7 linked regions of the Xenopus tropicalis genome follow. The protein of the gene in region 1 interacts with the protein of each later gene in a pairwise test. Links are inferred from orthologs where the notes say so. Each region holds a gene or a part of one and is shown on either strand. Other genes may lie near its edges.

Region 1 (4,266 bases):
GTGCAGGAACCTGACATTTTACCAGGGGTGTGTAGACTTTTTATATCTACTGTATATAGTCATGGTACATTAATTTAATTTTCACTATGTTATATACTCAAAGTATATAGATATATGGTTATACCTTCAAACCAAAGGAAAGCTCCAACATAATAGCACTTTGTCAAATAGGCCAAATACAAAGGAAGCAGTAGCTATTAAATGGTATTCTCTTTTCTATCATAGGTTTAAAATCTTGCAATATATTACATGGGGATGCTCCACTGAAGTAAAATTGTTGCTGATTTTTGTATACACACTCCTCGTCTAGTTAGTTTTGAATCATATGAAATTTGGCAACAACGGGAACCAAATTTCCCAATTATCTTATATGTTTATGACATTATTGGGGTAAATTTCATTTTCCTTGTTTCTTCTATTGATTGTATCCATTCCCATTTCATTGGTGGAGGGTTTTTTCAATTTCCTAGGAACCAGTGTGCTTGCTGCTTGTAAATACTAATTTGTCTTGGACTATTCTTTTATTTACTCTAACAGAATAATGTTGATTCCATATTGTTGACATTATGAACACCTTTCTCCATCATGCCTCTGGCACTCAGAATACCATTTTTTTTAGACTGCTTAATATTTTTGGCACATGTGCATGTGAGACGTACAACGTGCTGGTGCGTTTTGTGCTCTTTTAACCCGGCACTTCTTCAGGCGACCTAAAAAACATTTTTTCCTAAAAGGATGTTATTTTTGCAATATATTATATGTATATCTATCTATATATATATATATAGAGAGAGAGAGAGAGAGAGAGAGAGAGATACACAAGACATACATTAAGACCATTGATTGCAAAAACATGGTCAGTGATGTCAACTCCATATTATAACTATGGGGCTTCCCTAGTGAGCAGGGCCTGAGGGCCAGTTAGGGCCCAACTGGGACAGATGTCTTTTTGCTCTTCTAATAATTCCTTGAGATCAGTTAGGGTGGGATTTTAAGTAGTCACTGGCTTACTGTCTTAGATATTACTGGAAACGTGGCTTTGATTAAGGCCCCGACCAAATGTTGCACCTTATTGAAATACCCTTAAAAATGTATTACACGATACTAATTCAGTCCCGTTTTTTTTTATTATTTTTGCGTTACGCTAAGAGTTAACTTAAAATAATGAATCGAAAGTCCCTTCAATGGTTCATTTGTTCCATAAAGCAGTAAGGTTGGCAGGCATCTGCTAACGACGACCGAGAGAGTATATAGATTCTTACAGCAGAACAAGCAAACAATTGCCATTTACCCGTGCAAATTGTTGGTAGGCGTGGTATACGCAAGAGGGCGTGGCTTTCTGCTCGACCATCTGAGGGCAGCCTAATCCGTGGCGGGAGCGCGCCGTGTTAGCGCGGGAGCAGTGACGCCACTCTTTGTGCCCGCGCACGCTCGCTCCCTCTGCAGTGTCTTTCTGTGGAAGTAGGGGGGGTGCGCGCACTCGGAGTACGGGGGACGGCGGCAGCTCCACAGAGATAAGGAGTGGGAAGCAGACCCGGTAAAGGAGCCGTCTTACCGGCGATAAAGGATTTTGTGACCTATCTTCCGGTATCCTGTGAGTGCGATAATTGGTGCGTCACAGTGGAAGCCGAACAGGAAGCGGCATAATAGCAAAGCGGATTCCCTCCTGGGGAAGGTGAGCGCGGCCCGTGTTCTATGAGATGGCAACACTGCATCGGGAGCCAGGATAGCTAAGCCACGGCCCTTCGGCTTTTGTCGTACCATGCAGATCGGGGATGCTGGGAGTTATGGTAGAGCTACATTTGGAGGGCCGCAGGTTGGACTCCGACGCTGTGTATAAATCCTGTCTCTCAGGCGCCCATGGGATAATGCACGGCAGGAGGAGGGGGTGGGGGAGCCCATATTGCTGTGTATGTGGGGGAAGGGTTAATGGATGTTTCCTACACGTGTGGCTATGACATATGTTTGCATACAGAGAAAGTGGCTGGCTGCTGCAGACCCCGACCTTTCTCTATTTGTTTTGTGGCTTTTTATGCAAATAATGTTGGCAAAAGGATTATATGGGTGTCTGCTTATAATGGTATGACATGGCAGCCCCATTGCTGTGGGTTTCTGCTCTTTCTTTCCTTCTGTCAAATACTCCCACATTGCATCATCAGCCCTGCTGCACTTGCACCTTATGGGTGTTCGGTGTTGAAGTGGCAATCTGGCAGCTCTGTCTGGCTAATGTAAATAATCAACACACCCTAACCGCATCATCAGCCATTTGTTAACCCCGGTCATTGTCCCTGCCTATGTAGCAGCCTGTATTGTTGCTTCTAGTGTTATTGTCTTGTTGCCAAACCAAGGCCTGTGGCCTAATCCCTCCTGTGTGTTTTCCCCTCCCCCTTTCCTGATCTGTGTCCTAATTCCCCCCCCCCCCCCCCAGAGAGAAATCACTCGCACTATAGCTGCCTTCCGTTCAATTGTACAAATCAAGGGGGTGCTGCTTCTTGTTGCAGACAATGCTTTTTTTGTGGATGTAGTGACATGTGATAGTTGCTGTGTTGTGAATCCTGGCATTTATGAATCCCCCCCCCCCCAGCTCTTGTACTACAATTCCCAACATTTGGCTGGAGTTGTACACCTATTTACATTATTTCCTTGTTGCTTATTATGGTTTAACAACTAGAGGAGGGGTTTAAGCGGACACCCTTAATTTCTTTCTCATAATTAATTATTTTTCATAAACACATGATTTCCAAAACATCCAATGAGAGTTGCATCCTGGGAATAGCACGGATTTAAGTGTAAGAGATGATGATGATGTACCTAATGCACAGTATCCTAGTACTCCTGCCCACATGTCGAAAACAGCGGTATTCATGTTGAGTTCTTGCGATGTAAAGGAATTTTTCTTTACAAACATTTCAGTTGTTGAGTGGTTATACCCTCTCTTTCGATAGCAAGAGTTATCAGTGCAGCCGCTAAGTGTGATGCATCCGGTCATAGCCTTGGAGTTGTTGTAACTGAGGAAGCACAAATGATTTCATTTATAGGTGATTGTTCTGTTTACTGTTTGTGATGCTGCTTAATTACTATAAATGATGCAACATTTGTGGCTTAATGAATTAATCCTCTGTTTTTAGATTGTCTGTTCAACAGCACTCGGATACATGCTTCATTAGGGTACGCACCTTTATTGTATATCTCTTCTTCCTTATGCAGCTCATTTTAAAGATTAAGTGATAAAGATGAGATGCAAAATGGTGCTGCTAACACATTTTTTTTTTTTAATGCTGTATTGAAAATATTTTTTGCTTTAGAGCTTAGAAGCTACAAAAAGCAATACATTTCTTAGAGCTGGTGGGTAGGAAGTTGTGTTGAGGTAAGGGATCTATTTTTTGGATACCCATTATTCTAAAAGCGTTGACATTACACAGTTTCCTCCTCAAGCAGACGGTTACTCACTTTTGATGGATTTGCCTTTCCTCTGCAATAAGACTATAACTGTTACTTGATTTTAAGCTAGCATAAATCCATGTTGGAAATCAATTCTATTAGTTATTTAATGTTTAAAGTGTTTTAAACATAAGGCCATGGTGCCTCATAGTGATAAAACACCCCTTAACCTGGAAAACTCCAGAACTATGAATAATCAATATTAATTCTCAAATGTATTTCTCTTCTGGTGCCCTTTTCCATTTTGTTTACAGTGAGTTTGTATTAACTATTTGCCTAGTGTTTTGTATAGGGATGCATGGAAATTAGCAATTTGGTATTCGTCCGAATCCCTTAATTCTTGGGTATGGATTCACCCAAACCTGGAAGTTCCCAAAGATGAAGTTGGAAACACCGGTGTGCACGCTTCGTGTACAAGGCAAATTTTCTCCACCAGATTAATTTTGGCCAGACTGCTAAAAGTAGCCAATTCAGTGCATTCCTAGTTTTACTTAAGATTATATATTGTTTTTGTTAATCTCTTAAAAGGAAGAAGGTTGTTTAATAAAGAGCTCCTTATATGTAAAGTTGGAAAGGGCTGGCCATGTTTTAGGCTGAGGGTACACAGAGTGTTTCCTCTCCTGCTCTTAGCCTGAGTTTTTTTTTTTTCTGGTTTCGCATTTTCAGATCAATTCTTACTCTGCTCTACTTTGTGTAGCTGGGCAGAGGCGGAAGCTGCACTTGTCAATGCAGTTTTACTGAGGTGCATAAGGGAGCGGATCCACTTCTGAAATAAACACAGTTTTAGGTAGAAATACTCAACGTGTGCCTGCACCTGAGCGTATT
Region 2 (3,500 bases), about 59 Mb from region 1:
TTTGTAGATAGTGCCTGGGCCAGAATCAATTTAAGACCCCAGCATAACAAGGCAGGAATCCATCTTACTGCCCTGTGATCATAGATCCTCTTTAACACTTGGCTGGTGTACAGCCGTGGACCCACGAAAAGTGTTGTATCATAGTGTATGTTTTTAATGCTGGATCAATAACATGATGCAACTGAGAGAGAGATTGTAAAAAAGAATTTGATCCTAAACCTCAAACCTTCTCTTATCTCAGGTAGCAGTACCCCTGAAGTTACCAGGGCTGGCAAAAAGCCACTCCTGGTAACTTCAAGAGCCGAAATTCCGATTTTTTTAATTTGAAATTTCATCTTTCCTAGTGCAGAGAGCACTATTGCGCACTGTGCACTACCGATGTGGCCCCCTCCAACACAAAAAACCTAAGTGCGGAGGGGCAATTGGGGCAGAATCCCCTAGGCTGCCTCAGGGTGTCACTAGGGGCTGAAACACCCCTGTACTTAGCACTGCTCTACCGTATGTTCTGTTATCAGTCCCTTATCTGTATCTGGTAATGCCAATCTCTTTCTTGTTTTCTCAGGGCCGAGCTGTACAGACAGCAACTTCCCTTGATGAAGGGCTCTCCATTGTTGTTCCAGTGGGCAACATCCACTCAATAGACCATCAAAATGAAGCAAACCTGGTGCATTTGTCTGGAGCACTTCGGACTTCTAAGGTAGTCATTAGCATATAAATTAAACTTTAGTTACCAGTATAACCAGTACTTCACCAGGAAGGCAAAATAGTGACAAGCTGTGTTCTATAACCTTGGTGTGTCGTACCTGGTTTGGAGAACTCATACTGAACATTTTAGTCAGTCTGCCCTACTTCCACTGTTTCTTGCATAAGTAAAGAGAAATCTGCTTTTTCTGTGTTGATTTTTATTTCTAGTGTAGGTATCGGTGTATTCAGGTGTGTAATAAACATACACAGAGTCTGTGCACTACTGCTAATTGTGCTGCAAGATGGCCACCATTTGCATCTATATAAAATCTCATGTTCTGTGCTGCTTATCTTTTGATGTAATGATATGTTTTGACTTTAGAAACTCCTTACACCTATAGGACAGTGCAGTACTGATACACCTTCGGTTTTATTTTCCCTATCCCCATGTAGCCATTGTATGATCCAAATTATGGCGTTTCCATTCATTGTGTAAAGCTGAAGCGTCAGGTTGAAATGTACCAGTGGATTGAATATGAAGAATCAAGGTAAGATTCTATCTTCATTGCTGGACCCTGGATCAACATTGTACATTTGAAATATACTTATATTTTTTCTCTGGGGTCCTTGCCCAACAGGATTTTCAAACCTGCCAGATAGATACTTTTCTTGATTTTCACCCAGATATTGGTCAAGCAGTCCCAATCACCCCAAACGCAGGTCAATTATGTGTCAACTTGGTCTAGATGTGCCAAGTCTTCAGCTTGTATCAGCTCAGTTGTGTAACTCTAGAGGAAAGCAGACTCTGAGGTTGCAGGGGGGCCCAGACCACAGGCTCTGCTTTCTCTATAGGTCTAAGAAATCCCCCCTACCTACTTGGCGCGAGTGGCCGGGGAGCAGGGAACACTGGCGGCGGGTGAAAGGAGGGCTGGGTAGGTGTGCGCTGGGCCCCTCTGAAGATTGTTTTCTGCGAGGTGGGGGCCGCGTGTCGTTGTTATGCCGCTGTATCAGCCTATATATGCCCAGCATAAAAACTACTTGAAATTATTTTAGTAATTCGTTCATATCATATAATTTAAGTTGAAATAGTTACTTCGAATATGTGAGAGATATTTCTGACATACACAGTTTTGAATAGGCACACCAGAGTTTTTACAAACAGAATTTACTGTCAAACTGGCAGTTACATTTGCATGTCACACCTATATAAATATGAATTTATTTTGAAAAAGATTTTGGGCCTTTTTTTCATGTAAAATAAACAACCCAGGTGTTAACTAGAAATCACCTACCCTATTGCAGATTCCCTTCTGCTGAATTGCAGCACCTCCTGCTGGAATATTCTGGGTATTGCAGTTTATCCACAGCTACAAGCTTTATAGGAATTCTACTCAAAAGTTTTGGGTAGAGCAGTCTTTATTAGTGTGGGGATGCAAATAGTGGTGACTTCCTAGGTCCATAAAATATATGTGTATATATAATATTATTCGTTATTATATATATTAGTGATGAACGAATCTGTGTTTCGCTGAAAATTTTGCAAAACAGCAAGAAATTTGCCAAATGCATTGAAGTGAATTGGTAACACATTTTTTACGTGTGACAATTTTTTTTCTCATGTGCACAGTTTTTTTCTAACTCCAAATGCATTAAAGTCTGTGTTTTTTCTCACTTCTTCCCGCACCTTTTCATGCGCTCAACTTTTTTCTGATTCCAAATACAAAGTCAATTGGCATTTTTTCTCTGTGAACTTTTTGCCACAGCAAATTTTTGGTGGAGTTTTGTGAAAAAAAATTGCCTAAAAAATTGGCTAAAAAAAATGGCTAAATGCAGAATTTCGCTGTGAATCCATGCCGGGTGACAAAATGTGCTCATTACTATATTATCATATATTTTTTATTAACATCATTCATATTACATTAAGTTGTATTCAACTTTGTAAAACTCATATTTGCAGACAGTATGAAGAAAATGGAGAACAGAAAACAGAGACAAGATACACCTACAGTGAGTAGCTTTCAAAACTAGAATAGAAATAACAAATCCTTCTCCCAGTAAAAGTGGCTAATGCCATTGACTATTTTCATGGGATTTAAAAAGCTTGTTCCTTATTTAATCTGTTGCCATTACACTTAAGTTAGTGGCAAACTATACTCTTTAATGCTGAAAAGCCTAGAAAGAATACATAATGATTTAATTGCCTACCCTTGTTCTACTTTTTGTAAAATGACATTTAAGTAACTGTACTTCCTAGATACTGAATGGCGATCGGAAATTGTGAGCAGCAGGCATTTTGATCGAGAGATTGCGCATCAGAATCCCAGGTGAGTGGCACACAGTTTACAAAACCACAGAAATATCATTGGAAAAGTCAAATCCACTTGTTATCTATATTTCATTGTCTGTTCTTGCTACATGCTGATCTAATAGCCTACTGTATTGTAGGAGACTTGTATTCTTTGGAGATAAGGGTACTCCCTTTCCTTAATTATACTCATTAAATAAGTTACAGTAGAGACAAGGTGTCATCAACGAAAAGATAGAAGTGCTTGAGGGTTTGGATTTAGTTTTACCAAATATATAAATTTCCTGGCACCATAGACAAATTAAAATCCTTCTGGTTCTTTTCTTTTGATTGAGGGTGACAAGTGACCTCCGTTGGGAATCTGCACATTTTGTTCTGTATATTCTTACCCCAGTGGCTAACAAGCTTACGGAATGCCTACAGTGAGATGTGGAGAAACAGTGGGGCAAACAGTGATTTGTATGTTAAAAAAGTGGTGGAACAATAAATGTGTTGTCATAAAATTTCATTT
Region 3 (4,216 bases), on another chromosome or scaffold:
TCTAAAGCCACTCTTGCGCCCTTTAGTGCTCTTGCACTTTGTCCCCTGGGGTCAAGAATGACCGCTATGGTATCATAAAGACTTTATGTCACATAATCAGTCCCAAGTCTCTAAAGCATTTGAAAATACCTTTTAAATTAAGAATGGTGGCTTTTAATTTTCCGCCAAAATTAAGCCATAATGACACATTGTAAAAGGTGTTACTATTTAAAGGTAATTTCTTTTGGGATGAGCAGCACCCCTTTAAGCCAGAAAATTAACTGAACTATGGATATACAGATATAGAATTCAAATCGAGGCACAAGGTATCTCTGGTGGTGCATTTATTTTAAGTAACTGGCACCACCCAAGGTATTAGCCTTTCCTTGTCCTTTAATAACTGTAGTGGCATGTATCATTTAACTGGCTGGCCTTTGCTATATTATCCAGATAGCATCTCTGCTTAGGAAAATGCACACAACCAGTGGCATGAATAGATGTCACTTGTCCCAAAAGAATTCAATTTAGGGGCCCAAATCGTTGGTAAATTGACCTATCCTATCAAGATATAGTAAAACTGCTCACTATTCAGGGCCGTGACATACAGGGAGATTAGAGCTGCCATGACAAATCTCTGTTGTTGCGGGCGACTAATCTCCCCGCAATGCCATCCCACCGGCTACAATGTAAATCAGCGGTAGGATGGCATACGCAGCGCCGCCATTTGCCAAAGTCGCCTTGAGAGGAAATGTCGGTGACTTCGGCATATCGCAGTGCCGTGTATGCCACGGGATGGCATTTGTTGTGGTGCAACTAATCTCCCTATGTGTCATGGCCCTTACTGGGCCCTCTACACTCCAGGGCCCCCCTGCAACCACATGGTCTGCCTCCTTTGTAGTTATGCCCCTGCTTTATTTTTTTTCTAGATAACAGATGTAGGTCATGACCAGTCATAGGACTTTTGAAAAGGAAGAGAACAAAAAGTTCCCATACAGCAGACTAAGCAGGAACTTCTGGATTTCCAATACGAGTCAGGTGACTAATGCATGTTGTGGCATATCTATTTTGCTGAGACAAATGCTTACTAGGGGCAGGTAGTCAGCCCATCCTCTAATAAGAATTGCATAGCTCTGGCAGGCTACGACCTTTGGTTTCATAGAAATCTGCTGCTAAAGCCAAACTTTACAACACTGCACGACTCTTCTGTTTAGCGCTGGGGTCCAGTGACACATCACGTGACTGAGCCCTGCATGAATGGAGCCCGGGGATTCTGTGGCGCGCTGTTACGTCTCATTTGTGGGGCGGGCCAAAGTGACGTGAGCAGGGACCCTGTCAGGAAGTTCTTCCTGTGGGCCGCCCAGACTCTTGTATTGCGCATGTGTCAGGTTCGCCATTTTGCAGTGTACTGTTGTGCTAGGTTTCGTTGTGCGGGGCGGGGGAGGCAGAGCACACAGGGCCGGCACTGCACGGAGGGAGGAAGCCTGGCGTACTTAACGTGCACTGCAGCAATTTAAGGTGACTCAGTCAAGTACGGAAACTGGGGCAATTATGGCGAACATCGCAGCACAGAGGATCAAAAGGGAGTTCAAGGAGGTGCTCAAAAGCGAAGAGGTGAGAGGAGACAGAAGTGCGTCTGGCTATATACAATGAGGGGCAACAATTGGTGACAGTGTGCTTAAGATAAATCCAGTAAACTGCTCTAAAGAGGTAGTATAGAAGGCTGCCACAGCCAGGCATGCCATGGGGAGGGACTATTGGAGTGTATTAGAGACTGATAGGGAGAGGGACTACTTGACTGTATTAGAGACTGCCTTGGAGAGGGACTGCAGAAGTGTATTAGAGACTGCCTTGGAGAGGGACTGCAGAAGTGTATTAGAGACTGCCTTGGAGAGGGACTGCAGAAGTGTATTAGAGACTGCCTTGGAGAGGGACTGCAGAAGTGTATTAGAGACTGCCTTGGAGACGGACTGCAGAAGTGTATTAGGGACTGCCTTGGAGAGGGACTGCAGAAGTGTATTAGAGACTGCCTTGGAGAGGGACTGCAGAAGTGTATTAGAGACTGCCTTGGAGACGGACTGCAGAAGTGTATTAGGGACTGCCTTGGAGAGGGACTGCAGAAGTGTATTAGAGACTGCCTTGGAGACGGACTGCAGAAGTGTATTAGGGACTGCCTTGGAGAGGGACTGCAGAAGTGTATTAGGGACTGCCTTGGAGAGGGACTGCAGAAGTGTATTAGGGACTGCCTTGGAGAGGGACTGCAGAAGTGTATTAGGGACTGCCTTGGAGAGGGACTGCAGAAGTGTATTAGGGACTGCCTTGGAGACGGACTGCAGAAGTGTATTAGGGACTGCCTTGGAGACGGACTGCAGAAGTGTATTAGGGACTGCCTTGGAGAGGGACTGCAGAAGTGTATTAGAGACTGCTTTGGAGGAGAATTACAGAAGTGTATTAGAGACTGCCGTGGAAAGGTACTATAGGAGTGAATTGGAAACTGCCATCAAGAGACTACAGGATTGTGTAGAGACTGCCATGGAAAGGGACTGCAGAAGAGACTACAAGATAGTGGTGTGGGGGTCAGGAAAAAGTCAACCTGCAACTGACCGTATCCCACAAATTGTTGCCGATATAGGATTTGCATTTAAAACACGTACTTGCGTCTTTCTACATTGTTTGCTGCTCTCGCCTTAGGTTCCAAGGAAGGGAAAGTTCAGGAGCAGAGGTGCTTCCCTAGTCTGACCCACACCCAACCTGAACCCACAACACCCCCCAACCCTAACCTGCCTGACCTAAGGGTAAAATGCAGGTTGTGGGTCAACCCGCTCATCACTACTACAAAAGTATGTTAGAGATTGATAGGGATAGGTTTGACATGAGTGTATCACGGGCTGCCATGGAGTTTTTTTTATGGGAGTGTATTAGGGACTGCCTTGGAACGATTTGACAGGAGTTTATTAGAGACTGCCATAGAGTGGGGCTGCAGAAGTGTTTAGAGTCATGTAGAAGGTACTAAAGGATTGTATTAGAGACATGGAAAAGTAGGACAGTTGTGTAGAAAAGACTGCAGTTCCCTCTGGCTCTCCCTTCCAACTTTTTCTCTCCTTATTAATGGCCCTTGAAATCCATTCAGTGAAACTTCAGAAATGAAATCAAAGGGGGATATTTATCAAAGTATTAAACTACAGCTTGCCATAGTCAGCCACAGTGAAATTTCCCTCATTATATTAATTTCTATTCAATTAGTGAAAACATATTTATCAAAGTGTAAACTCATTTATATGTATTGATAAATATACCCTCTAAAGTTTCATATTAATGTATAAAGAGTAGCAGAATTTCACTCTTGCAGACTATGATGACTTCTAGATTCAATCTTTGGTAAATATGTGGCTTCTGGTCATAATCACTGGGTAACTCTGTGAAACAGTGGAGTGCAAATTTGTTAACTGTAACTTTCTCGTGTGCGCTAGATCAAAGGCTGGCATTGCCGCATATCCTCCTGCCACTTTATGGAGAAACTTTCATTTGAGACAGCGTGCTGCCCATTCATTGAGAAGCTGCATCTAAAAATTGTTGCAGTTACAAATTAGGATTAGTAATATCGCTCACCATATTAAGAAATACACATTTTCTAATGTTATAAAGTAATTGCTTATTTCTTCTTTGTCCTCCATTTATTTTAGGTTAAGCAAGGGCCACAAAAGATTTTTAGAAAGTATCATAACATGCAGCACTACACCCCGTTTGTCTTCACTTAGCTTAAGCTGCAGTGTTCACCAGAGGTTTTTAGTGGTCATTTCTGCAATTTTACTTTCTCCATGAGCAGCAGAAGCTCCTAGCCCTGGACATAGGGCTAATGTATTTGATCTGCCAGATGGGTCAGTAGCCTGCTGACTCAATCAAGAATCGCAGCCAGTATTTGCCCTATGTATGGACACCTTAAATTCTGAACCTTTTATTAGGCTGAACCTGGTGCAGCTAGTTGGATTAGAATGCACATAATATCTCAGTGATACTAAGTGATATTTAGTAATACACATTGCTTTTTTTTTTGACGAGGGTCTGCTCAAGTTGTGCAAATAGATAAGTCCAGCTATGGCTACAAGCAGCCACAAAAGCTGTCTTGACTTCTTAGTAGAAAAATATATCCCCTTATTTTATTTTCATTTTCTTTATTGTTGGTGTATTTATTGGAATTTGGTAAATTATTAAAAGGGGAATAACACTCTAAAGTAATTTT
Region 4 (2,270 bases), on another chromosome or scaffold:
AGCCAGAAATTCAAAAATAAGCTTTGAGGCCACTGGGAGCAATATCCAAGGGGTTGGTGAGCAACATGTCACTCACAGACCACTGGTTGGGGATCACTGCTTTAAAGCATAACATTTAACACAGGAAGACCGCACCACTTCTGTAGTTTATATCTTTCTTGTATTTTCTATTTCTTTTCCACTCATCTTTACTTTCCTCTATCATTACCTAGTCCTACCCCTACCCTCCCTCATTCCTTTCTATTCCTCAACATATACGATAGCCTCTTTCTAAGGTATCTATATTAGAAATAGATAAGATGTAAAGAATGTGGAAACAAAATTGTCTGAATGTAAAAGGCTATAAATGTATAATGTGAAGCTTTACTATCTTTTTGAAAATAAACGGATTTAATACAAAAAAAAAAACAAAAAAACATTTAACACAGAAAAGTAAAAAAAAAAACAAAAAAAAAAAAACTACAATTGGCCAAGCACAAGAAAACCACAAGAAAAGAAGCTTTTTTTCCACCACCAACATTTATTTGTTAAAGAAGACTGTAAATCAGTACAAATATACACATAGATGCGAAACCAACATTTACACATAAAGAAGAGAGTGTGTGCTTAGGATGATTTGAGGTATACAATAAAAAAAATAAAACTATGAATGAAAAGAATTTACAGAAACAGTGAAAGTCAATAATGAGAATGAAATAAAGTCTTCTGTGCATTAGATCATAGTGGTATTAAAAGTCTAAAACATATATATTAATATATATAATCATATATATTAATATATAAATATATATAAGTATACATATATAAAAACTCCAGCGGTATGCCAAAAAGAAACATTTATATAGAGAATATATATATCTTTCTTGTGTAATATCGGATTACAGGAAAGAAAATAGTCCGCTATGGCTGTTACACCATGCAATACTGCTCTTTCATTAAAAGTATAATAGAGATATTTCTCTTGGTCGTGATTGTTTAAAGCAATGTGCTACATACAAGGAAGGTGGCCTAAAGCGCATGAAAATAAAACCACAGCCAGTCCAGTTCTTTAGGAAATAGCAGCTAAATCTTATATACAATTAATGACAACTGAACTTTCCAGCTTCGTTTAACCTTTGGCAAGATTACTTACAAACTTATGAATTAACCCACGCTATTTAAAATATTTGTAATGCATAAAAATAAAGATTTTGGCTTGAGCCCTTTGCTGCCAGAGCGGGCTGCAATGCAATACTCAACAGTGTGCTCCAGCCCCCTTTGGCATAAAAGGCAGTTAAACATTTCCCCCCCACCCCCCTTTCAGTCTCCATACATATTTACACATATCTTTCAATATGGAAGCTCAGGCACTGCAGTGGTTCTGCAGAGAGTCATATCTCCAGTGGGCGGCCAGTTTTACTCCCGCCTTGCCATGACCACTGTCCAGGTTCGTCTCTGATTTTCTGTGCCAACGCAGGGTAGATGAGATCTGTGGGGATGGATATTCTTAATATTCCCACAGACCTCCATTGCAGTTACTGTCCAATGGAATTTTCATGCCCCCCCTCTTGGTCCTTTTATGTGTAATTCTAAAGAGATGGATTTGCAAGAAGAGATTTGGAATCCTTAAAACACTGCTACTCCTCACAGAGACTGTTTGCTTGTTCAGTCCAACTCTATAGTTCAATTTCAAAAGTCTTTTGAAGGTCACTAGAGAAAGGATTTGTAGGAGATGGGTTTGCACGTGGTCTAGATTTGCCTTCAAGAGCTGCCCATTGAGCTTCAAATGGGTCTACAGGAGGAGGGGCAGCTGGAGCTTGCTGGCTCTTAGCGCCCAATTCCCACCCACTACTTTCAACCCCATTAAAAGCAACAGAGCCATTCTGTTGCTGGGCAGGAGGCTTATAGAATGGACTGCTGGATGCACTGGATGCTTCATAAGTTGGATAGGTTTGCTGTGTGGCTAAATTTGGAGATGGCTTAGGCTGGAATACCTGTGGACTTGCAACTCCGAAAACATTAGCTACCATTTGAGAAGGGGTTATGCCAACAACTGGAACACTGGAAGCTGGGTAGCTCATTCCATTGGCTACAGAGTATGGTGGCTGCACAGGCATGAAGGGAGGGTGCAGACCTGGGACAACAGAGACAGGCATAGACTGTGAGGTCACATAAGCATTGGCCAGGTAAGGCTGGTTAGGCTGTGGTGCGGCAAGGGCAGGTTGTACCATAGGCTGAGTTGGGACTGCAGGAACTGGAGACTGTCTTTGCATGATTGTTTTGGATACTTC
Region 5 (4,127 bases), on another chromosome or scaffold:
TGCACACACACAGGGCCACATAGGCTGGGGGAGCCATTTGCACACACACAGGGCCACATAGGGGGGATTTGCACAGATACAGGGCCACATAGGCTGGGGCGAGCCATTTGCACACACACAGGGCCACATAGGCTGGGGGAGCCATTTGCACACACACAGGGCCCACATTAGGCTGGGGGAGCCATTTGCACACACACAGGGCCACATAGGCTGGGGGAGCCATTTGCACAGATACAGGGCCACATAGGCTGGGGGAGCCATTTGCACAGATACAGGGCCACATAGGTTGGGGGAGCCATTTGCACACACACACAGGGCCACATAGGCTGGGGGGGAGCCATTTGCACACACACACAGGGCCACATAGGCTGGGGGAGCCATTTGCACACACACACAGGGCCACATAGGCTGGGGGAGCCATTTGCACAGATTACAGGGCCACATAGGCTGGGGGAGCCATTTTGCACAGATACAGGGCCACATAGGCTGGGGAGCCATTTGCACACACACACAGGGCCACATAGGCTGGGGGAGCCATTTGCACACACACACAGGGCCACATAGGCTGGGGGAGCCATTTGCACAGATACAGGGCCACATAGGCTGGGGGAGCCATTTGCACACACACACAGGGCCACATAGGCTGGGGGAGCCATTTGCACAGATACAGGGCCACATAGGCTAGGGGAGCCATTTGCACAGATACAGGGCCACATAGACTGGGGGAGCCATTTGCACACACACACAGGGGCCACATAGGCTGGGGGAGCCATTTGCACACACACAGGGCCACATAGGCTGGGGGAGCCATTTGCACAGATACAGGGCCACATATTCTGGGGAGCCATTTGCACAGATACAGGGCCACATAGGCTGGGGGAGCCATTTGCACACACACAGGGCCACATATTCTGGGGGAGCCATTTGCACACACACAGGGCCACATAGGCTGGGGGAGCCATTTGCACACACACAGGGCCACATAGGCTGGGGGAGCCATTTGCACACACACAGGGCCACATAGGCTGGGGGAGCCATTTGCACACACACAGGGCCACATAGGCTGGGGGAGCCATTTGCACACACAGAGCTGAGGGAGAACTTTCCCCACCAGCTATGAAATCGCTCAGAAGTCTGTCTCCTACCCCCTCCCCCCCTCACTCTCTCTCCCTTTCTGACTGTCTGGCTCTCTCTCCCCCCTCACATCTAATGGGAAGAGCAGGAGAGGGAGGAATGAGAGAGAGAGGAGGGAAGGGACAGACAGAGGCAAGAGAGGGCGGTGCCCGGGGAGGGGGAGGAGCCAGCAGGAGGGGGAGGGAGGGAGCAGTGCAGGAGGGAGGGGGGCAGAGGAGGTAAAAAATTTTCCTCTTTTGTAGGATTTTCTCTGCACAACGGATTAAAAAAAAAGAGAAAAAGAAAAAAAATCTTATTTCCCCCCTTGTCGCCTGTTCGGCTGTGCGGCCGCTTCCCCCCCCCTCTATTCCCCCCTATTCCCCCCCTCGCCCTGAGGCACAATGCTCCGCTCCGGCTTCCCTACCCGTCTGCCGCCGCCGCCTGGCCCCGGACTGACAGCCTCTCCCCGCCTGCCTCTCTAACGCACCTACCGGAGACTTACGGGACCGGACTCCCTCCCTTGTTAGGTGGGTGACTCCGCGCTGCATCGCGATCCTTCTGCTACACAATCGCACAGACTCACACGGATGTACCCACACACGTATGCACTCACTCTCACACTCACTCACACACTCACTCACACACTCACATGCGTGTATATGCTCCCTGCCGGGAACTGACAGTGTGACATGGGCGCCTATACCTACTGATCATGCACTCACACTCATACTCACTCACATACACTCACACTCATACTCACTCACATACACTCACACTCATACTCACATTCACTCACATACACACTCACTCACATACACACTCACTCACATACACACTCACTCACATACACACTCACTCACATACACATACACACACTCACATACACACTCACATACACACTCACATACACATACACATACACACTCACATACACATACACTCACTCACATACACACTCACTCACATACACATACACATACACACTCACATACACACTCACTCACATACACATACACACTCACATACACACACACTCACATACACACACACACACTCACATACACACATACACACACTCATACACACACTCACATACACACACTCACATACACACACTCACATACACACACTCACACACACACACACACACACACACACACACACACACACACACACACTCACACACACTCACATACACACACTCACATACACACACACTCACACACACTCACATACACACACACACACACACACACACTCACACACACTCACATACACACACTCACATACACACACACTCACATACACATACACTCACATACACACACTCACTCACATACACATACACTCACACTCACACCCCCCCTCCTGTGGGGATGACTTGCCCCCCTGTAGCGCTAACATACCCAGCTGCGCAGTACAGAGAGGGAGAAGGGGAGGCTGGGGAGGGATAGAGCAATGAGCCAGATGTGGCCCCTAACCCCCAGAGCTTGCACTTCAGTGTGTGGGTAGGAGGCTGAATGTCTAACCTGTGGAGCTTGCACTTAATTCACTGAAACCTATTGGCAGAAACTTTGTGTGACTCTGCTGTGTTAGTATTGATGGCAAAATGTCAAGCTGTCAGTCCTGGCGCTGATGTGAACTACAACCCCCAGCATTGTCATCCCCCCCAGTGATGCTAGCAGCTGCTGTGAACTACAACTCCCAGCAACCTCAGCCTCCCCCTCAGGGATGCTAGCAGCTGCTGCTAACTACAACTCCCAGCAACCTCAGCCCCCCCGAGGGATATTAGCTGCTGCTGTGAACTACAACTCCCAGCAACCTCAGCCCCCCCGAGGGATATTAGCTGCTGCTGTGAACTACAACTCCCAGCAACCTCAGCCCCCCCTCAGGGATGCTAGCAGCTGCTATGACCTACAACTCCCAGCAACCTCAGCCCCCCCAGTGATGCTAGCAGCTGCTATGACCTACAACTCCCAGCAACCTCAGCCCCCCAGTGATGCTAGCTGCTGCTGTGAACTACAACTCCCAGCAACCTCAGCCCCCCCCTCAGGGATGCTAGCAGCTGCTGTGAATTACAACTCCCAGCAACCTCAGCCCCCCCGAGGGATATTAGCTGCTGCTGTGAACTACAACTCCCAGCAACCTCAGCCCCCCCTCAGGGATGCTAGCAGCTGCTGTGAACTACAACTCCCAGAAACCTCAGCCCCCCCCCTCAGGGATGCTAGCAGCTGCTGTGAATTACAACTCCCAGCAACCTCAGCCCCCCCAAGGGATATTAGCTGCTGCTGTGAACCACAACTCCCAGCAACCTCAGCCCCCCCGAGGGATATTAGCTGCTGCTGTGAACTACAACTCCCAGCAACCTCAGCCCCCCCGAGGGATATTCACTGCTGCTGTGAACTACAACTCCCAGCAACCTCAGCGCCCCCCCCCCCCCAGTGATGCTAGCTGCTGCTGTGAACTACAACTCCCAGCATCGTCATCCCAGCACCCTCACTGAGGGGATGCTAGAAGTTGTAGCCCTTGGCTTCTGGAAGGCACAAGTGGGCCCAGTGTGGGGATTCTGAGATGCTGTTGGAGTACGATGAAGACATTGTTGGGGGTTCTCCTTGCTATTTGGGGGTTCTGATGCGTCCAGTGGGGGGGGACTGGTGTGGGTTATTTTGTGCTGGTTCTGCTGCATCGCTTCTGGCCATGGTGGGGGAGTCGTGCTGTTACATATGGATATAGTGGTGCCCGCTGGTGGGTGCAGATGGGTATTTATTGGGCAGCACTGGAGCTTTGCTGGGGGGGGACAGTATTACTAACAGTATTACTAACACTATATATAACATTATGCTTTAATATGCCACTAGCTCTGGGCATTGCAATGATATGCAGTAGGGCAGGGTGCCCATGTGTAGGTGCTACAGTGCCAGAGGGCAGTACCTGTGCAGGTGAGGTGCCAGTCTGCGCATGGAAGTGGCACACTGAGAGGCCCGTACGTGCCGGCGTGACAAACAATGGTATAT
Region 6 (3,458 bases), on another chromosome or scaffold:
AAAACAAACAGTTGGTTTGCAGGGAATCATCAGGGAGGTGTGACACCTCCCTCTCCCCACATGCATCAATGGACGGCATTGCTCAACTAGACTTTATATACTGCATAATGTACCCCCTATTGTAAAATATAAGGATAGAGGTATTCTGTGACCATATAAAAGCATGAGGCCGAAGGGCGAGTGCTTTTATACAGGTCACGTAATGCAGAGGTGACCTCTAACATCCTGATATTTTACACCAGGGGTACTAATTAAATACACACGTTTAAGTGAGTCATGTGACAGAAATTATGTCACTAAGCACCATTTGATGACATCACTAAGCACCGTTTATACAGGATAGTCATGGCTTTTGTGTATTATATTACTATATTTTATGAAATGTAATCATTGTTTTGATAACGAATCAGAGTAAGTCCTGTTTTAACTACTGATTGGTCTTTGTCTTTGGATTCAGGACAGTTCTACTTGTATTATAAACAGAAAGTGGACTCATTGACTTACAATTGGAAATGTAATAGAATAAATACAAATTAATGTGGGAAACATTAACATCTCAGTAACCTTAGAGAGCAATTGAACAGTTGAGAGAAAGACTCCTCTTTAGGCACAAGCTGGCCTGGCGCTCAGTTGAGCTGTTGTTAAGCTATAGAGCTTATAGTGTCCATCACAGAGGACAGTTAAATGGATCCTGCAGCTGCTGTGGAACCCAAGGCAGTCACCAAGGGGTCTGACCCCCAAGGCCTGATATGCACCATTTAGTACCAGTCAGTATGTCACAGTGAGACCCCTTATACCCCTCTCTACAGGAGCCAAAGTGTGGATGACAGCCCTGGCAGAACCCATTCTGGAATTACTTTTTTTCAGCATGAAGCCTGGCTGGGCCCCAAGATGCAGATTTTTATGAATGGGTCTGTGTCGCAGATCTTAAGCTTGTCTTTGCTGAGAGGACTTGTGATTTTAGTGAAGCTGTAGCACAGGAAGATCAGATCACTTGAAAATTTAGGGACATGTCTAGAAAATCCAGTCAGCAGGGCTGAACTGATTGCAGTTTAATTTACAGGTGATCAGTGCTGTCCTGAAACATTTTTTTTTAGAAATGTCCCTGAATTTTCAAGTGCTCTGGTCACCTTATTGTAGGAGCCGTCGATGATCAAACATCTAGCCAGTTATAATGATTGCACTTCCAATAAGGTCATGTCACAGGGGAAAGGGGGGAGTGTCATTTACTGCATCAAAACCCCAATACTGCAACGTTTAAGCTTACTAACGAGGGTTAATGTTAGTCTTGTCTTTTTGATTACTCAGCATGGAAGGCAGGCAACTGATCCTTAGGCAACGTGGCATGCAAGACCAGTCCCTTGCTTAGAGCAGTCAAGCATAGGGTGACCAGATCACATAAAAATTTAGGAACAAGTCTAGAAAATCCAATCAGCAGGGCTGAACTCATTGCTGTTTAATTTAAAGGCAATCAATGCTACCCAGCAACATGTATTTTTTAGACATGTCCCTTCAAGTGCTCTGGTCACCTCAAAGCAAGCAAAGATTGCCATGTTAGCCCAATGCTTGCATTAGCCTTTTTAGATATTCTTATTCAATGCATCTTGCTGGCAGCTTGCTTCTTTAATTCTTCCTCCTGGATTACTCCCACCCCTTTAATTATCAAGCCAATTGAAAAAAAAAAAGCTGTTTGAAAAGTTCCTAATGGCACAGGGATCTGCAAATATTTACCTGCATTGTGAAATGGCTTCAATAAAGGGTTAATTAGAGCAGGCCTATGGCATCATAAACAGCCCAATAGCGTTAGACCTTTATGTATTTTTGCGTAGAATTATTTTTTTTTCTTGCACCAATTCAAGTCCATAAGGAGTCGTAATCATTGGTGGGAGTGACTTTTAACTTAAGTTCAGTTGTTTCTTGATGTACTCTGCGATCAGCTGCTGGGGGCGCTTCTGGTATTCTATCAGCGTGTCGTGGCTTTCTGCGATCTGGTCTCCTTCTAGTCTGTTGAGGAGCGTCACGCAGACAACTGCAGCTGGAACAGGAAGGGTTTCTATAGGTTACTTATGTTTTTTTTTTTCTATACAAAGCACCGTTTTCTAAAAACAATCGGTTTCCCTAAAGCAGAATGTACAGCACGGCCTCCCGAGGGCACAGATGTTCTTTCCAGACTCCTGTCGGTAAATACATGTCTATATAGACAACAGGAGCTGACATATTGCTTACCTAGCCTCATGAACATAATCTGAAACCACACTATCCATGTATGACCACTAGGTGGTGATGTGGAGAAGGCCTAAGGAAGGGCAAACTGGCTGTTGCTACTCAGTTAAGGTGACCAAAGCACTTGAAAATTCAGGGACAAGTCCAAAAAATACATGGTGGGGGAAACTGATTGCCTTTAAATTAATGTTCATGGATTTTCTAGACGTGTCCCTGAATTTTCTCTGGTCACCCTATACTTAATAATAAAGAATTGCCCTGATCCATCTAACGATGTCTATTTGGAGAGCAAGAATGTTAGTGGACATATTAAAGGGAAAATAATGAAAAGATGAAGCTACAGAATATTTTGCCTATGGTTTTGGCAGCTAGAATATGGGTTTGCAGACAGAGACCCATTCCCTGGCAAGCAATGCTTCAATGCAAGCAATATACCTTTAAGCCCACAGAGTTGGCACATTGCAGCAAACACAGTCGACTCCATCTCTATGTTGCGGACTCCTGCAGTGAAAGCTCTCTGAAGATACTCAAACTTTTCCTCTTTAGAGAATGAGCAGAGTGCCCCGTCCAGTCGCCCCTGACCTAAGGAATAAAGGACTGTTATACAGACCACATTTCTTCATACAAAGCAATGATTCTCGACTGCCAAGAGCCTGATGTCTCAAGCAAAACAAAACCATACGCTTATGATCACACAACAAATGGCTGTAACGGAGAAGCAATGCTCATACTCTTCCAAAACACATGTATAATGGTACCTTCATAAAAGTCGTAGGTGCACATCGTGTGGCCGATAATCGTGGGGAAACTTGCAATCTCCTTACTGCACTGCAGCAGATCTTCAGCGAGCTCTCTGTGAAGGTCAGTGTTTCTAACAACCACTTTGTCCAGAACAACCTGCTCAAACTGAGGCCGGAAAAATGAATCCACTGCTACGTCTGTGATCACCACTGTCCCGGGTTCAATGCCTGTAAGAGACGGAAACAACACATTGCGTAAGCAGCTTGTCATTGGGTTAGAACAAATCTCAAATCCAAACGTGGGCTAGATAAGAGCATGGAATAGGGCCTTTCCCATGATTCCACCCTGGATTCCATGGCTTCTGTTAGTTGGGCATATAATTCAGTTTAAATAAGGTGCCTTGCTGTAATATGAAAAATGATGAGGTATTTATACAAAAACTGAGAAAAACTTACCAGAAATGGTGCCAGTGGCCTTCTGGAATTGTTATTGGC
Region 7 (3,940 bases), on another chromosome or scaffold:
TGTAGGCCAGACCGGGGGTGAGTGTAGGCAGACTGGGGTGAGTGAGTGTAGGCCAGACCGGGGATGAGTGAGTGTAGGCCAGACTGGGGGTGAGTGAGTGTAGGCCAGACCGGGGATGAGTGAGTGTAGGCCAGACTGGGGGTGAGTGAGTGTAGGCCAGACCGGGGATGAGTGAGTGTAGGCCAGACTGGGGGGAGTGGTGGCCAACGGGATGAGTGTAGGCCAGACTGGGGGTGAGTGAGTGTAGGCCAGACTGGGGGTGAGTGAGTGTAGGCCAGACTGGGGGTGAGTGAGTGTAGGCCAGACGGGGGTGAGTGAGTGTAGGCCAGACCGGGGGTGAGTGAGTGTAGGCCAGACCGGGGGTGAGTGAGTGTAGGCCAGACCGGGGGTGAGTGAGTGTAGGCCAGACTGGGGGTGAGTGAGTGTAGGCCAGACTGGGGGTGAGTGGCAGCTGGGGAGTGAGTGTAGGCCAGACTGGGGGTGAGTGAGTGTAGGCCAGACTGGGGGTGAGTGAGTGTAGGCCAGACCGGGGGTGAGTGAGTGTAGGCCAGACCGGGGGTGAGTGTGACGCAGTTGGGCAGCTGGAAGTATATTGCAATTGTATTTAATGCTCCGACTTTTCCCCTTTAAAAAGCCTTCAAATATGTCATCTATTTGTTGAAATTCCCTTTGCACCAATTTCACAAACGAGTCTCTGTGCTCGGAATTCTCTCCATATTGTGCAGAAATACACTGAATACGCGGCCGGTCCCTGGGCCGGTGATGGGGACGTTCGGTAGCCGCGCTCCATCTGGCCAGTGCTATAGAGACATGGAGCCCAGACCCTCAGTAAGGTGGGGTTGCGCTTGGCACTGATGGGCACGGAGCTAAATTACCCGCGTGGGGCTCATTGTTCATCATCCTCCTTGTTGAACTACAGTTCCCAGCATCCTCCGAGACCCGACTTGCACCCCTTACACCCGGTGTTGGTAGGAGCACCTCAAGGCCTCGGCAGATGGCGGCGTGGGTGTTCCCGTGTGAAACGGCCCTGGGCAGCTTTGTCTCTGGGGCACATTACATTCCAAGCATCTACTGCAGATAATGCTCCGTGTGTGCCCAGCGCCTGCTCCGTGCCAACTCTGATAACGGACAAAAGACCCGTCTGTAGGAAGACAGAGAGACATCCACACACAGGCAGAGACATCCAGAGAGAGACCAGAGTTCTGATATTCAAGGGGAAGTAAAGAGTAGGTGAAGATTTCCCCAACTGGGCACCTGGAATAATTGCCAAGGAAGAAGAAAACCAAATATTGAGGGTATTGAGACCCCATCAAGCTCACAATGACCTTGCTATTTCTAACATGGCTTCTGCTGGTGAGCCTGAAGTGCCCTACTCTGGGGCAAAGCTGTGACATGCCTGAGGGAGATCGCCAGCTTCTTCTGGCCAAGGTGAAGGAGCAAATTATAGAAGCACTTGGGTCACCTCCACCTCAACCCACCAATTCCTCCCCAACACCATCTGCTTATCTTGAGGGGCCCGTGCAGAGAATGCTACACAAGAGGCACAGCAAGAGGCATCAGGACAACATGGAGGATGTCTCCCAAGTCATTCTCTTCCCTTCCTCAGGTAATCATGGGTGTTTAATATTTCATGGGTGCCATGGTGGGTTCTTGCCAAAGGCCAAGAGGTTAGAAGATCTAGGGTGGAGAGGGTAGTGGTGGAACTGGAGACCTTAGAGTAGATTCTATAGGTTAGAGCAGAGATGTCCAACCTGTGGTCTTCAGCTATTGTCCAACTATAACTCCCACATCCATGGACATCCATGCTATTGGGGCCCAAGTACCTTCAACACCAGGGGATCCAAATGAGCTTTGGGAATTAGCTTTGTGACCCAAAAATTGACTTTTTTTTTTCTATTCGGCCCATTAAATCGGAACTAGCACCCAAATTAAAAAAAAACTTGATTATTGGACATTTTGGGGACTCCTTGGTTTTTGCATTGATAAAAGGAATTGCTGTGAATACAGTTTATCCATTACTGTTGGCGCTGTTCTGTTTCTGTATATGGAGGGGACTGGATACTGGTAGTGGTGAGAGGTGGTACTGCAGGCCACACAGTCTTTTTTTAAACTCCGCCCCCAAGAAGCGGTAGAATTCTGCATGACCATGGGAAGGAGAGCAGCTCAGGGAGAATGAGGTGCCTGGAATGGGGGAGATTCCTTGTAGAGCTCATTGGGTGCTTCTTGTTTCAGATGTCCTATGTGAAACCACCCAAACTGGCGCCAATGAAGAGGGTTCTGAAAACAGCTTCACCTACGTCTTCCGCCCTTCCCCCCACATCCGCACCCGGAGGGTCTCTGCAGCTCAGCTTTGGTTCTACACTGGCCACCCCGCCGCTGAAGAATCTGCCATGTTGAAAAACGTGTCCAGTTCTATGTCCGACCAGATGGGCGTTGAGCCAACGTTGGAGACTTTGGGCTCGGATCAGCTGCCCCCAAGCACTGGAGCTGCCCAAAAGCCACACGCGGTGACCGCTGCGCCCTTGGACGTGGCTACAGAGGTTGCAGACACTGTGGGACATGCAGTTGACCTCCAGGTGCTGTCGGAACATGAGCCGGTGACCGTGGCCACCACCAAGGTGCAACGTGTGGACGACTGGACCGTCTTTCACTTGGCCCCGGCTTTCCTGAACCTCGTCACAAGGGAGATATTTGTGCTCCTGGTTCACTGCCCAACGTGCCCATGTTCTGACCAGCCTGAGCACACCCCATTCATCACCTTCAGCACCCACCCCACCCAGCGTAACCGTCGCTCTGGGGTGCCTTGGTCCCCCTCTGCTCTGGAATTTCTGCAGAGGCCCCCGGAATCCGGAGCCGGAAGTGATCACTGTCACCGCGGTTCCCTCAACATCACATTTGAAGAACTGGGTTGGGGCCAGTGGATTGTGCACCCCGGCAGCTTCCAGTTCCACTACTGCCATGGCACGTGCTCGCCTACCCACGGCCTGACTCCAGCCCTCCACTGGGGGCACTGTTGCGCAGCTCTGCCCAGCACCATGAAGTCACTGAGAGTCACCACCACAACCGACGGAGGATTCTCGTACCGATATGAGACCGTCCCCAACATACTGACCCAAGACTGTGCCTGCAGCTGAGTATTAGCCAAGGAGGGGCTCAACTGGCCAAGTCCAAATGGAGACGCTTCCTGATACCTGGAATATTCTACAGAACTCCAGTGTCGGCTGAAGACCTTGGCTCTTATATTTCCCCTAATCCTTTGCACTAAGAGAACCAATACAACAGCTCCCACCCTGTATAATAAATCTAAACAGATAATGATACATACAGTGTAATAGTGAGGATTTGGGGCCACTTGTTGCCTTTCGGAGAATGGAGGTGACCGGGTTCATATAAAAAGTTTAATAATTATTCTGCCATTCAAATAAAAATGATATTTGGCACAAGGTCTGTTATTGGGTTGTGCTGTGTGGGGAACAGACTCAGCGGCTAGGGTATCTTTGTCTATGGGTATCTATGTCTATGGGTATCTATGTCTATGGTTATCTATGTCTATGGGTATCTATGTCTATGGGTATCTATGTCTATGGGTATCTATGTCTATGGGTATCTATGTCTATGGGTATCTATGTCTATGGGTGTCTATGTCTATGGGTGTCTATGTCTATGGTTGTCTATGTCTATGGTTATCTATGTCTATGGGTATCTATGTCTATGGGTATCTATGTCTATGGGTATCTATGTCTATGGGTGTCTATGTCTATGGGTGTCTATGGGTATCTATGTCTATGGGTATCTATGTATGTAATGGTAAAAGCCCCAGCTCCAGACCCAAAGGGTTTTTTCCTGCACTTTCCTGGCTGCCATCTTTTAAAATAAACCAAACTAAAGATGGGGTGTTGGCAGATCAGGGGCATAGTTAGGTGGGTCAGGGGCAGCTGGC

Evidence for each region.
Region 2: the proteins of siah1 (region 1) and tmem43 interact in binary tests that used the Homo sapiens proteins (3 or more experiments, as listed by UniProt). The two-hybrid records come from large-scale screens. The link is inferred for Xenopus tropicalis from reciprocal best matches to the Homo sapiens genes SIAH1 and TMEM43.
Region 3: the proteins of siah1 (region 1) and ube2k interact in binary tests that used the Homo sapiens proteins (3 or more experiments, as listed by UniProt). The link is inferred for Xenopus tropicalis from reciprocal best matches to the Homo sapiens genes SIAH1 and UBE2K.
Region 4: the proteins of siah1 (region 1) and numb interact in a two-hybrid assay, tested with the Homo sapiens proteins (2 studies listed by BioGRID and IntAct). The link is inferred for Xenopus tropicalis from reciprocal best matches to the Homo sapiens genes SIAH1 and NUMB.
Region 5: the proteins of siah1 (region 1) and atn1 interact in a two-hybrid assay, tested with the Homo sapiens proteins (2 studies listed by BioGRID and IntAct). The link is inferred for Xenopus tropicalis from reciprocal best matches to the Homo sapiens genes SIAH1 and ATN1.
Region 6: the proteins of siah1 (region 1) and upp2 interact in binary tests that used the Homo sapiens proteins (3 or more experiments, as listed by UniProt). The two-hybrid records come from large-scale screens. The link is inferred for Xenopus tropicalis from reciprocal best matches to the Homo sapiens genes SIAH1 and UPP2.
Region 7: the proteins of siah1 (region 1) and inha interact in binary tests that used the Homo sapiens proteins (3 or more experiments, as listed by UniProt). The two-hybrid records come from large-scale screens. The link is inferred for Xenopus tropicalis from reciprocal best matches to the Homo sapiens genes SIAH1 and INHA.

What each region holds. Positions count from the first base shown.
Region 1 is NC_030680.2:74,034,912-74,039,177, forward strand, and holds the start of siah1 (E3 ubiquitin-protein ligase SIAH1), read left to right. Parts: upstream 1-1,466; 5' UTR 1,467-1,675; exon of another isoform or gene 1,676-1,816; intron 1,817-3,133; exon of another isoform or gene 3,134-3,168; intron 3,169-4,266. UniProt on the Homo sapiens protein: E3 ubiquitin-protein ligase that mediates ubiquitination and subsequent proteasomal degradation of target proteins.
Region 2 is NC_030680.2:132,943,348-132,946,847, reverse strand, and holds part of tmem43 (transmembrane protein 43), read left to right. Parts: intron 1-562; coding exon 563-697; intron 698-1,137; coding exon 1,138-1,232; intron 1,233-2,641; coding exon 2,642-2,691; intron 2,692-2,938; coding exon 2,939-3,008; intron 3,009-3,500. UniProt on the Homo sapiens protein: May have an important role in maintaining nuclear envelope structure by organizing protein complexes at the inner nuclear membrane. Required for retaining emerin at the inner nuclear membrane.
Region 3 is NC_030677.2:36,220,661-36,224,876, forward strand, and holds the start of ube2k (ubiquitin-conjugating enzyme E2 K), read left to right. Parts: upstream 1-1,416; 5' UTR 1,417-1,527; coding exon 1,528-1,590; intron 1,591-4,216. UniProt on the Homo sapiens protein: Accepts ubiquitin from the E1 complex and catalyzes its covalent attachment to other proteins. In vitro, in the presence or in the absence of BRCA1-BARD1 E3 ubiquitin-protein ligase complex, catalyzes the synthesis of 'Lys-48'-linked polyubiquitin chains.
Region 4 is NC_030684.2:106,105,818-106,108,087, reverse strand, and holds the end of numb (protein numb homolog), read right to left. Parts: coding exon 1,656-2,270; 3' UTR 501-1,655; downstream 1-500. UniProt on the Homo sapiens protein: Regulates clathrin-mediated receptor endocytosis. Plays a role in the process of neurogenesis.
Region 5 is NC_030683.2:9,482,384-9,486,510, reverse strand, and holds the start of atn1 (atrophin-1), read left to right. Parts: upstream 1-1,327; 5' UTR 1,328-1,640; intron 1,641-4,127. UniProt on the Homo sapiens protein: Transcriptional corepressor. Recruits NR2E1 to repress transcription. Promotes vascular smooth cell (VSMC) migration and orientation. Corepressor of MTG8 transcriptional repression.
Region 6 is NC_030685.2:73,782,897-73,786,354, forward strand, and holds the end of upp2 (uridine phosphorylase 2), read right to left. Parts: intron 3,192-3,458; coding exon 2,982-3,191; intron 2,806-2,981; coding exon 2,659-2,805; intron 2,036-2,658; coding exon 1,896-2,035; 3' UTR 501-1,895; downstream 1-500. UniProt on the Homo sapiens protein: Catalyzes the reversible phosphorylytic cleavage of uridine to uracil and ribose-1-phosphate which can then be utilized as carbon and energy sources or in the rescue of pyrimidine bases for nucleotide synthesis.
Region 7 is NC_030685.2:84,993,279-84,997,218, reverse strand, and holds inha (inhibin alpha chain), read left to right. Parts: upstream 1-1,146; 5' UTR 1,147-1,392; coding exon 1,393-1,606; intron 1,607-2,232; coding exon 2,233-3,134; 3' UTR 3,135-3,440; downstream 3,441-3,940. UniProt on the Homo sapiens protein: Inhibins and activins inhibit and activate, respectively, the secretion of follitropin by the pituitary gland.